Mus musculus: one gene and its partner. The protein of the gene in region 1 interacts with the protein of each later gene in a pairwise test. Links are inferred from orthologs where the notes say so. Each region holds a gene or a part of one and is shown in the gene's direction. Other genes may lie near its edges.

Region 1 (4,148 bases):
CATCACTGTGGTACAGGTGGGTCTTAGTTTCCTGTTGAAGACTGGTGGGATTGAGCAGAAGGGGAGGCACTGGGCATGGGGCTTTGCATCTCATTTCCCATGTGCACAGTAGAATTTTTTTGATTCTAGTTATTCTTGAAAATATCTGGTAATACCTGTTGATTCCTCAGGGATCTGCCTAAGATACTGTTGGTCCATGTCAGGCATTGTACTCCGTGAGGACGCTTTCCCTGATGGCCCCTTTGTAGCAGTGAGCTGCTCATTCCTGCACAACAGCTCTGCCGACCGCACTTCCCATTCAACCTCAGCTCCGTGCTGAGGCCTAGGATGCGCACACTCAGTGCAGTGTCAGAGGAGAGGTCTTGTCTTACTGCTCACAGGTGTTGCCAGGTATGGCTAGGTTCCAGGGGCATGAGTCCAGGAGTGACTGGCAGCATGTTCAAGAGCAGGTTACTGACACGATTAGGTGAACTTGAAGGCTGTTTTTTCACACACTGGGAAATATCTGTAAGAAAAGCAGTTTACAGATGCACTGGCCTTTGTCTCTGCTGGTGAATGCCACATTTTTCTAAATTTGGTGTTGTTTCAGGCAAAATTGGCAAAGAATTATGGCATGACTCGTATGGACCCTTACTGCCGTCTGCGTCTGGGCTATGCTGTTTATGAAACTCCCACAGCACACAATGGGGCCAAGAACCCTCGCTGGAACAAAGTCATTCAGTGCACAGTGCCCCCAGGTGTGGACTCGTTCTACCTTGAGATCTTCGATGAGGTGAGAGATGCCCCAGTGTTACAGACCTGTCTAGTTTGGGATCTGACAGACATGGGTGTGCTGTAGTGTGCCTTGTGGGTTTAGTCATGAAGCTGTTCTCCTGGTGCTCAGGCCCTGTATACATACCTAGCATTTAGTGACTGGTGACAGGGTGTGACCTGCCTGGACACCTGGCATTTAGTGGCTAAATGACAAGCTACAGATTTTTTCTCTCAGTTCCTTTGACAGTGTCCATTGGGAGCCATCACCAGCAGTAGAAGCATGAGTAGAGTGTGAAAATAGATGTTCACGGGCACGTCAGATTTCAAGCAAGTCAGGCTCCACTCGTGATGGGAGCACTGTTCTTGTAGGCATGAGTTCCAGGCTCTGCCAGTAATGTCCCATGGCTGTTCCAGCAGTTAGGCATGCAGCTTTTTGAGGGCAATCAGGAAACTCAGGTGGAAGATGTCTCCTTGTAGCTTAGCTGTGGAGGTCATATGCTTGTTTCCTTGAAACAGCAAAGGGCAGTGGGAAAAAAATGGAGGCATGAGAGCCAAAGAGGACATTGGCATGGGAGGCCCAGTGAGGGGACACAGTTTCTCCTTTGTCTTGACCCTCTGCCTCTTGCTCTACTTTCTTCTTGTTTGTTTGTTTAGTTGGTTGGTTTTGTCCCTTTCTCCTCCTTCTGTGTCTGAGAATAGTAAGGATATGAGAAGGAGGTTTGGGGCTGTGGGTGGTGGCTTGGAGCTCTTGTCCTCATCTGTACCTACTGGGCTTGATACTTGCTTCTTATATCTAGTGGATTAGGAGTAAGGGCCCAAGGACTGGGGAAGATAGTGTCCATCCCTGAACAAGGATGACAGCCCAGAGATTCTTTATTGTCCTTTGGCCTGGCCTCATGGTTGTTACTCAGAAGATGCAGAAATGGTGGTGGCCAGGTCTAGGTGATCTATGGAGGTCTGGCGTTATGGTTTAATGGGAAGCTCCTTGACGGAAGATGGAGCAGTGAGGAGGAACCTCTCCTGCCAAGAAGATAGAAGGTAGATGCAGGCACCAGTCCAGGTGGAGTCACAGCCATAGGAAAAGCTCGTCTCTATAACATGGGTTGTTGTGGGCCATGATGAGGTCATTTTACTCTTGTCTTCCTCAGCGCGCCTTCTCCATGGATGACCGCATAGCTTGGACCCACATCACCATCCCCGAGTCCCTGAAGCAGGGCCAAGTGGAGGACGAGTGGTATAGCCTGAGTGGGAGGCAGGGCGATGACAAGGAGGGCATGATTAACCTGGTCATGTCCTACACGGTGAGTTCACTGTCCGGAGAGGCCATCCTCAAAGAGGTTATGGCACCTCCTTGAGGCAGCTATGGCTCCCAGAATCCCAGAACCTTGGGAAGTCATGGGAGGCAGGGCTGGGCATCTGAGCTCCCAGTGTCTCCTTTGTATTATCTAGGCCTTTCATTTTAGTTGTTGCAGAGTCTTTGAGAACAGGGGAGTATAAAGCACTCTGATGCAGGCCTCCTCAGCTTGACCATCCTACATGCCTCTCCTGGTGTTGAGTGTTACCTGTCTTTAACAGGTGCTTTATGTAGCATAGGTCCATTTTACACTATCGCATCTACAGTTCAAGATTATTAGAGCTGGTCCAGGAGAGGTGGCTTAACAGGTAAGAGCACTGCTGCTCTTGTGGAAATTTCCAGGTTTGATTCCCAGCCTCTACATGGTGGCTCACAACCAACTGTAACTCCAGTTCCAGGGGATTCAGTACCTTCACTGGCATCAGGCACACACATAATGCACATATATACATGCACACAGAACACTAAGACATATTAAACAAACAAACAAACCAATTCAGTATTTCTGAGAGAAGCTTCTGATACTTATGCAGTCTCCAGAACAAACCGTGAAGGGGGCTGTGTGAGAAGCGGTGGTGGTTGCAGCTCATGTGAGGCCAGTAGTTGATATCATTTGTTTTCTTTAATCTTCACCCTGACTTTTGTTCTCACTGAAACTGAATCTCATTCCTCTAGATTGGCTGGCTAATGAACTTGAGGGATCTTCTTGTCTATGACTCCCTATCCCTTGGATTATAGATATGAGCTACCAAACATGGCTTTATGCATAGATGCTGGGGATTGAACTCAGGTCCTCATGCTTGTGCACCACTTTCCTAACTGAGCTAGGAGTCTGCAGCCCAAGTTGTCTAGCTGAAGGGAGGCAGTCTGCGGGAGTGTTGGTACAGATGAAACCAGAGGCCAGGAATACTACATTCTTGCTGAGGACTCCATGTCTTGGGTGTTAATGTCTGGGCTGAGGCTAGGACCACTCCTCTGATACCAGAAGTAACAAGATTGACATATGGTGTGGTCCTCCTTGACTGACATGTTTTTCTTTGTTGTGTTTCAGTCCCTCCCAGCTGCCATGATGATGCCTCCTCAGCCTGTGGTCCTGATGCCAACTGTGTACCAGCAGGGTGTTGGCTATGTGCCCATTGCAGGTGTGTACTGCTTCTTTGGTAGGCAGTCCTGGGACAAAGTAGGACAGGAGGAGGGAAGGGCCTGTGAAGCTTGAGTAGTGTAGAATTGTGTAAGCATGGCTGCTTTAAATGAGGATCCTTCTAAAACTTATTCCAGTGTCATATCTGAATTATTTATGCATACATAGGCAATAGTGTTTGCCCTAATTATTGCCACAAGTAAGGTGAGTTGAAATTTTTGGAGTTGTAGAAACATTGTCATTTTTATGAATGAGTTACTGGAATAAGACAACCTGGTTCCTGTTAGACAACACTCACCCTGAGCACCTACATCTTAAAAGAAAATCATGGCTTTCATTGAAAGTATTTACCCATATAAATTAATAGCTGCTTGGGTCATAAAGTCAAGATGTGGCTTTTATGTATTTTTTTAAATTTCTAATCTTCCTGTGGCTTTCACAGTGCCTGGTATCCAACTCGTCCTCCTACCAGAATAGGGCAAGCCAGATGAGCAGATGAGATCACACAGCTCCTTTCTTGGCTTCAGCCAACAGGAAAAACTGTGGCTCTGAGAGTAGACATCAGGGCAGGCCTGTAGTCTCCCTAGTCTCTTGCTAGGGTCCAGGGAACTGTAGTCCAAGCAGACCATGCTAGTTCTGCTATCCCAATGGGAATGGCCAGTCTATAGGGCAGGAGGGAATATGAGATCCTGGATGGGACTTGGCCTGCATGGTCCCTGCTAGCAGGTGCTCAGGGTGAGTGTTGCCTTGTATCTAAGACAGCACAAAGCTGCTATGGCTCAGTGGTGTGGGGTCTGAGGGTCCCACACAGCCAGAATGGAGTGACTCATTAGCCTTTATTAGACTCAGCCTCTATGCCAGCTGAGCTAGGGAACATGGTGCAGGACTTGGGAATGAAAT
Region 2 (4,778 bases), on another chromosome or scaffold:
AGGTTAGTGGGTGTATGGAACTATGAAAGCACACAGTAGGGATCTCTGTAAGAGAAATTTCTCGATTGACTAATATGAAGATTTACCAAGAGGCACGACCTCATGTCTAACACAGAATCCACTTTCTTAATCACAACTCTATTGTACCCAGCACACTAGGGACAGACATTGTCACATGTTCTCTGCCTACAGAACAAGGCCCAAAGAATCCTCCCCTATGGGGAGGATGTCAATAATTTATCCAAATGGGGGTCCCATTGACTTGCCTGATGATAGTGTCCTTGGTGAAGACCAGAGGTAGGATGTGGAGAAGCAGCAGAAAGCTTTACAAACAAATCAACCAGGTAGCCTCGTCACTGGTTTACCTGGGAAACAACAGCCTGGGTTAGCTGGACCTGAAACACTATGTAGACCCTATGAGTCCCACAGTAATGAGAATAAAAGCAACTGATGAGAATAAGTCCTTGTCGTACTCTCAGTGCACTCCACTTATTTAACTCCATGCCAGTTCTGGGAGCTATTTAAAAGGGACATCTTAGTGTCCCTACTTCCCAGATAGGGAAATTGAGGCTTGAGGTATGTGTGTATGTGGGGGGCCGGGGGGGGGGTCTGTGACCAAAGTCATAGAGTGAATTACTGACAGAGACTGAGATGGAACCTTGATATCTTTATTCTCATCGCAAACACTTCATACGGCACCAAATGAAATACCTTATTGCAGATCAAGAGGATGGATATAACAGCCAAACTCTAGAATGAGTTATCAGTGTATCGGGTACCTCTCTTTCAGTGAAACGAATCAGGCCAGGAAACTGGCTGATGGACCCTTTTCCTACTTGCTTTTGCTAGTTTAAGATTTTATACGCTCTTTTCTTTTTCAAAAGCCCGATTAAGTCTCAGTACAAGTGTAAAAATGACATGTGTGCTCATTTTACAGATGAGACGGGTCAGGTCGGAGTCCTCCAAGAAGAGTTACAAGACAGACCTCAATCATGCAACCTCTAATCTTCTGGAGCTAAACTCTTGATTCTTACCTTCCTAAGGACTGTCTCCCCTTGCAGTAGACGCTTCGTTTGGTTGCTGGGGAACCAAACACCGCCACTTGGTTGCTAAGGGGAAGTCAAGCGATAAATATCCTGGGTGAAAGTTGATTCGTCACGTGGCCATATTTCTAACACCAACCAGACTTGAAGAAAACAAACGTTTCTCCAATCAGCACAGTCAACGAGCTTCAACTTCTAGTTACGCTTTCTTTCTGCCCGCCTATGTAAACGATTGACACACCTTTTATCCAATAATAGTAAAGATTCTCTAGACTGACCAACGTGCTAATGAATCAAGAAGAACGGCCACTCGTTTGGAGGCGGGTCCGGGGGTTGTGCCGCTAGGCTGACGGAGACCCTAGTGACTTAGCTTGCTTCGTGCCCAATCGGACGCCGCGGGGTGGGTGGGACTTCACTGAGAGTGGAGTGTCGTCCAATCGGAAGTGGGCTGGTTAGACGCTGCCCAATAGAGATGCACCCAGAGGGCGAGGTCAGGCCGGGCGCTCAGCGTTCCGGAGGGTGGGGCGGGGGCAAGTGTCAGTCAGGGCAGAACGCGGCGCGGGCAGCGGAGACCCGTGGCACACAGGAGTCCGGGCTGGAACGAGGCCCGCCGAGATGGAGTTCCTGCTGGGGAATCCGTTCAGCACCCCTGTAGGGCAGTGTCTTGGTAAGGCCGCGCGTGGGGCAGGCGTCGAGTGAGCCACAGCGGCTGACCGGGCTGGTGAGATCCGCGGGCCTCCTCCCGGCACTGAAATCACCTCACGTGCGGGTTGGGCCTCTGCCAATAAGTGGTGTCATCTCAAAGGTGGACTGGGCATCCTTGTCACGAGGCCTCTGCCTGACGCTGGTGCCACCTCACCCTACAAGGAGGCTCCCCCGAGGTGCCGATTGGACTTAGAGAGGTCCCCGGCATCCCTGCCCATCAGGGCCCAGCCTTTCAAGTCTCTCCCCAGAAGTAGTGTCCATGCTAGTCTGCTTACCCTTGCGTATTGGGAGATGTCACTGCGAGTACTCTTCCCCAGGTATCTCGCTGCCTTTGCTCCCAGGGCCTCTGTCTCCCGGAGCCTTTGTGGAATGGAACTCTTTCTTCCGTCCTTGTCCCTGCTCATTGGTACCAATGGCTCTGAGGCTGGGCACTTTCCCAGAAAATGCCCCATGCTGCACGACTTCTAATTTGAGCTGCAACTCAGTCAGGCTGTAGGAGGGACTGGGATGGGGGAGGCCCTCGGGGAAAGTGACTGGCTTGGCAGGGGGATGGCGTGGCGGCAGAATCTCCTAGGCCTCCTAGGAAAGAAGGGAGGCAGGGCTGCTTTGTTGATAAGCAGTCCATTGGATCCCGGAAACTTGGACTCCAGTAGTGACTTTGCCAGGGACGCTCCTCCTGACCTTGTGCGCTTTATATTTTGACGTTCTCTTGTCTGCCACACGGGGTATTTGGAGATAAGATGTGGTGGGACTCTTCAAGTTCTAAAGTTCTGAATCTTCCTTGTTGATATTAAGCGTCTCCTTACATTGCCTCTTGCTCTCCCACTACATAAAGTGGTAGTAGAGTAATCAGAGCAGCTGTCAGTAGTGTAAGGAGTTAGAGGCGGGCCGCATGCTGCATAAGGAATGGCACTGGCCGCTGTGAAGTTTCCTTACAGAAGAAAACACTGGCAGACCAGGGAATAGTCCAGTGGTAGAGCATTAACTTAGCACACACAAAATCCTGGATTTGATCTAGGATCCAGCACTGCAAGTAATGAATAATAAAGCAATTTGGCCTTTCATCCAAGGTGGGAGCTTATGCCAACAGATCAGTCAAAAGTGCTGACTAGCTTTAAAAACAAACAAACTTGGGGCTGGAGAACTGGCTCACCGGTTAAAGACATTGGCTGTTAATCCAGATTCAGGCCCTGGCACTGCATAGTGGCTCACAACTGGCTGTAACTTCACATCCAGGGGATTGATTGCCCTCTTCTGGTGTCTTTTATATACATACCTAAACATACCATGTAAATGGTGCACAGACAGGCAAACAAAACGCCCACATATGTAACATTTTTGAAAATTAAAGTTGGGTCTGCCGGCTGGTTGAAATCATCTTTTATGAACTGGGCTCTGTACTATCCTTATGGGTCTTATAGTTCAAGCAGTAGAGACTTGCTTGTTTCTACTTTGTATATGAATTTATAGCCTACTTTTCTGTTGTTAAGCTTACAAACTTACGGAGGCTTTTTCTGTTGTTGATTGACATTTGGGAGCATTCTGTTCCTTTTGGGTTTTTTGTTTGTTTGGTTTTGGTTTTTGGCTTTTGGCTTTTTGTTTTTGTTTTTTGAGACAGGGTTTCTCGGTGTAGCCCTGGCTGTCCTGGAACTCACTTTGTAGACCAGGCTGGCCTCAAACTCAGAAATTCGCTTGCCTCTGCCTCTCACGTGCTGGGATTAAAGGTGTGTGCCACCACACCCTGCCATTCTGTTCTTTTTTGATAAAGTGTCTTTTATAAGTGATCATGGATTCTGGGACCTGAAAGTCTTTTCCCACTTCTATGACGCTTCTTTCTCTGATGTTCACTCAAGTATCTCTTTTTCTCTGTATGTATATGTGTGTGTATGTAAATACTGCAATTTTATGTGTTTACATATAAACACATATATGTGCATGTATATATATAAATATTTCAATTTTATGTGTTTGTTTTGCCTTCATGTATGTCTATACACCACTTGATTCCTTGTGCTCACAGAGGCCAGAAGAGGGTGTCAGAACCTGGAACTGGAATTACAGACAGCTGTGAGCTGCCATGTGGGTGCTGAGAGTCAGACCTGGATCCTTTGGGAGAGCACCAGTGCTCTCTACCACTGAGTTATCTCTCCAGCCTCCCCTCTTATATTGAAAAGATTTTATTTTATTTATGTATGTGTGTGCATGCGTCGGTGTGAGTGTGAATAGGGTGCCCGTGGAGGAAGAAGAGGGCATCAGATTCCATGGTGCAGAGTTACAGGCATTTGTGATCCAGCTGATATGGGTGCTGGGATCCAAACCCCAGTTCTCACGATTGGGCAGCAAGTGCTGTTCAGCACCGAGTCCTCTCTGCAGCCCCGACTGTGTCTCCCACCCACTCTCCTTTCTGTCTTCCTCTTCTCTCCAAGTGCCCTTTCAGCGCAGTCTAAATTCACTTCTCCACCCAATGTTGAGCTCAAGCCAGGGAACTAGAGGGGTGGAGTGGGGGGTAGGGGAGGGAAGCTGAGGCATATGAAGGGCAGAATGTAGAGAGAAGTAAGGGATGTAGGGCCATTTGAATGGATGGAAATAAGTAAACATGTTAGATGTGACCTGCATCAAATGACCTTGATTATGGAACCTCAGAAGGTTGTGTAGGCATTCCAAGCCTGAGAGTGACTGTCTGCTGAGCAAAAGGAGGGAAGGGCGGGGAGAGACCTGTGTCTTACTGAGTGCTTACTTTGAAGGGTTCATGTCTGCTAGCACTTGATCTCTTATCTAGAACATTGTAGAGACTCTGTGAATTGCGTTCTCTGTTTACAGCAGAACAGTCAGGGCTGGGTTTTCTATCAGAAGTGGCTATGTGATCTGGCTGGTTTATGATCTGTGAAGGAAAGTACCCTCCCAGGCCTTAGATCATCCACTATTGCTTATAAAAGACACTTAAAGGGCTGGATAGGTTTTTAAAAAATACTTATTTATTTATTTTATGTATATGAGGGCTCTATCCTTATGTACACCTGCATGGCAGAA

What was found.
Region 2: the proteins of Tollip (region 1) and Tom1l2 interact in binary tests that used the Homo sapiens proteins (3 or more experiments, as listed by UniProt). The link is inferred for Mus musculus from reciprocal best matches to the Homo sapiens genes TOLLIP and TOM1L2.

The regions. Positions count from the first base shown.
Region 1 is NC_000073.6:141,888,608-141,892,755, reverse strand, and holds part of Tollip (toll-interacting protein), read left to right. Parts: coding exon 1-16; intron 17-589; coding exon 590-772; intron 773-1,901; coding exon 1,902-2,054; intron 2,055-3,158; coding exon 3,159-3,249; intron 3,250-4,148. UniProt on the Homo sapiens protein: Component of the signaling pathway of IL-1 and Toll-like receptors. Inhibits cell activation by microbial products. Recruits IRAK1 to the IL-1 receptor complex. Inhibits IRAK1 phosphorylation and kinase activity.
Region 2 is NC_000077.6:60,349,689-60,354,466, reverse strand, and holds the start of Tom1l2 (TOM1-like protein 2), read left to right. Parts: upstream 1-1,561; 5' UTR 1,562-1,658; coding exon 1,659-1,710; intron 1,711-4,778. UniProt on the Homo sapiens protein: Acts as a MYO6/Myosin VI adapter protein that targets myosin VI to endocytic structures. May also play a role in recruiting clathrin to endosomes. May regulate growth factor-induced mitogenic signaling.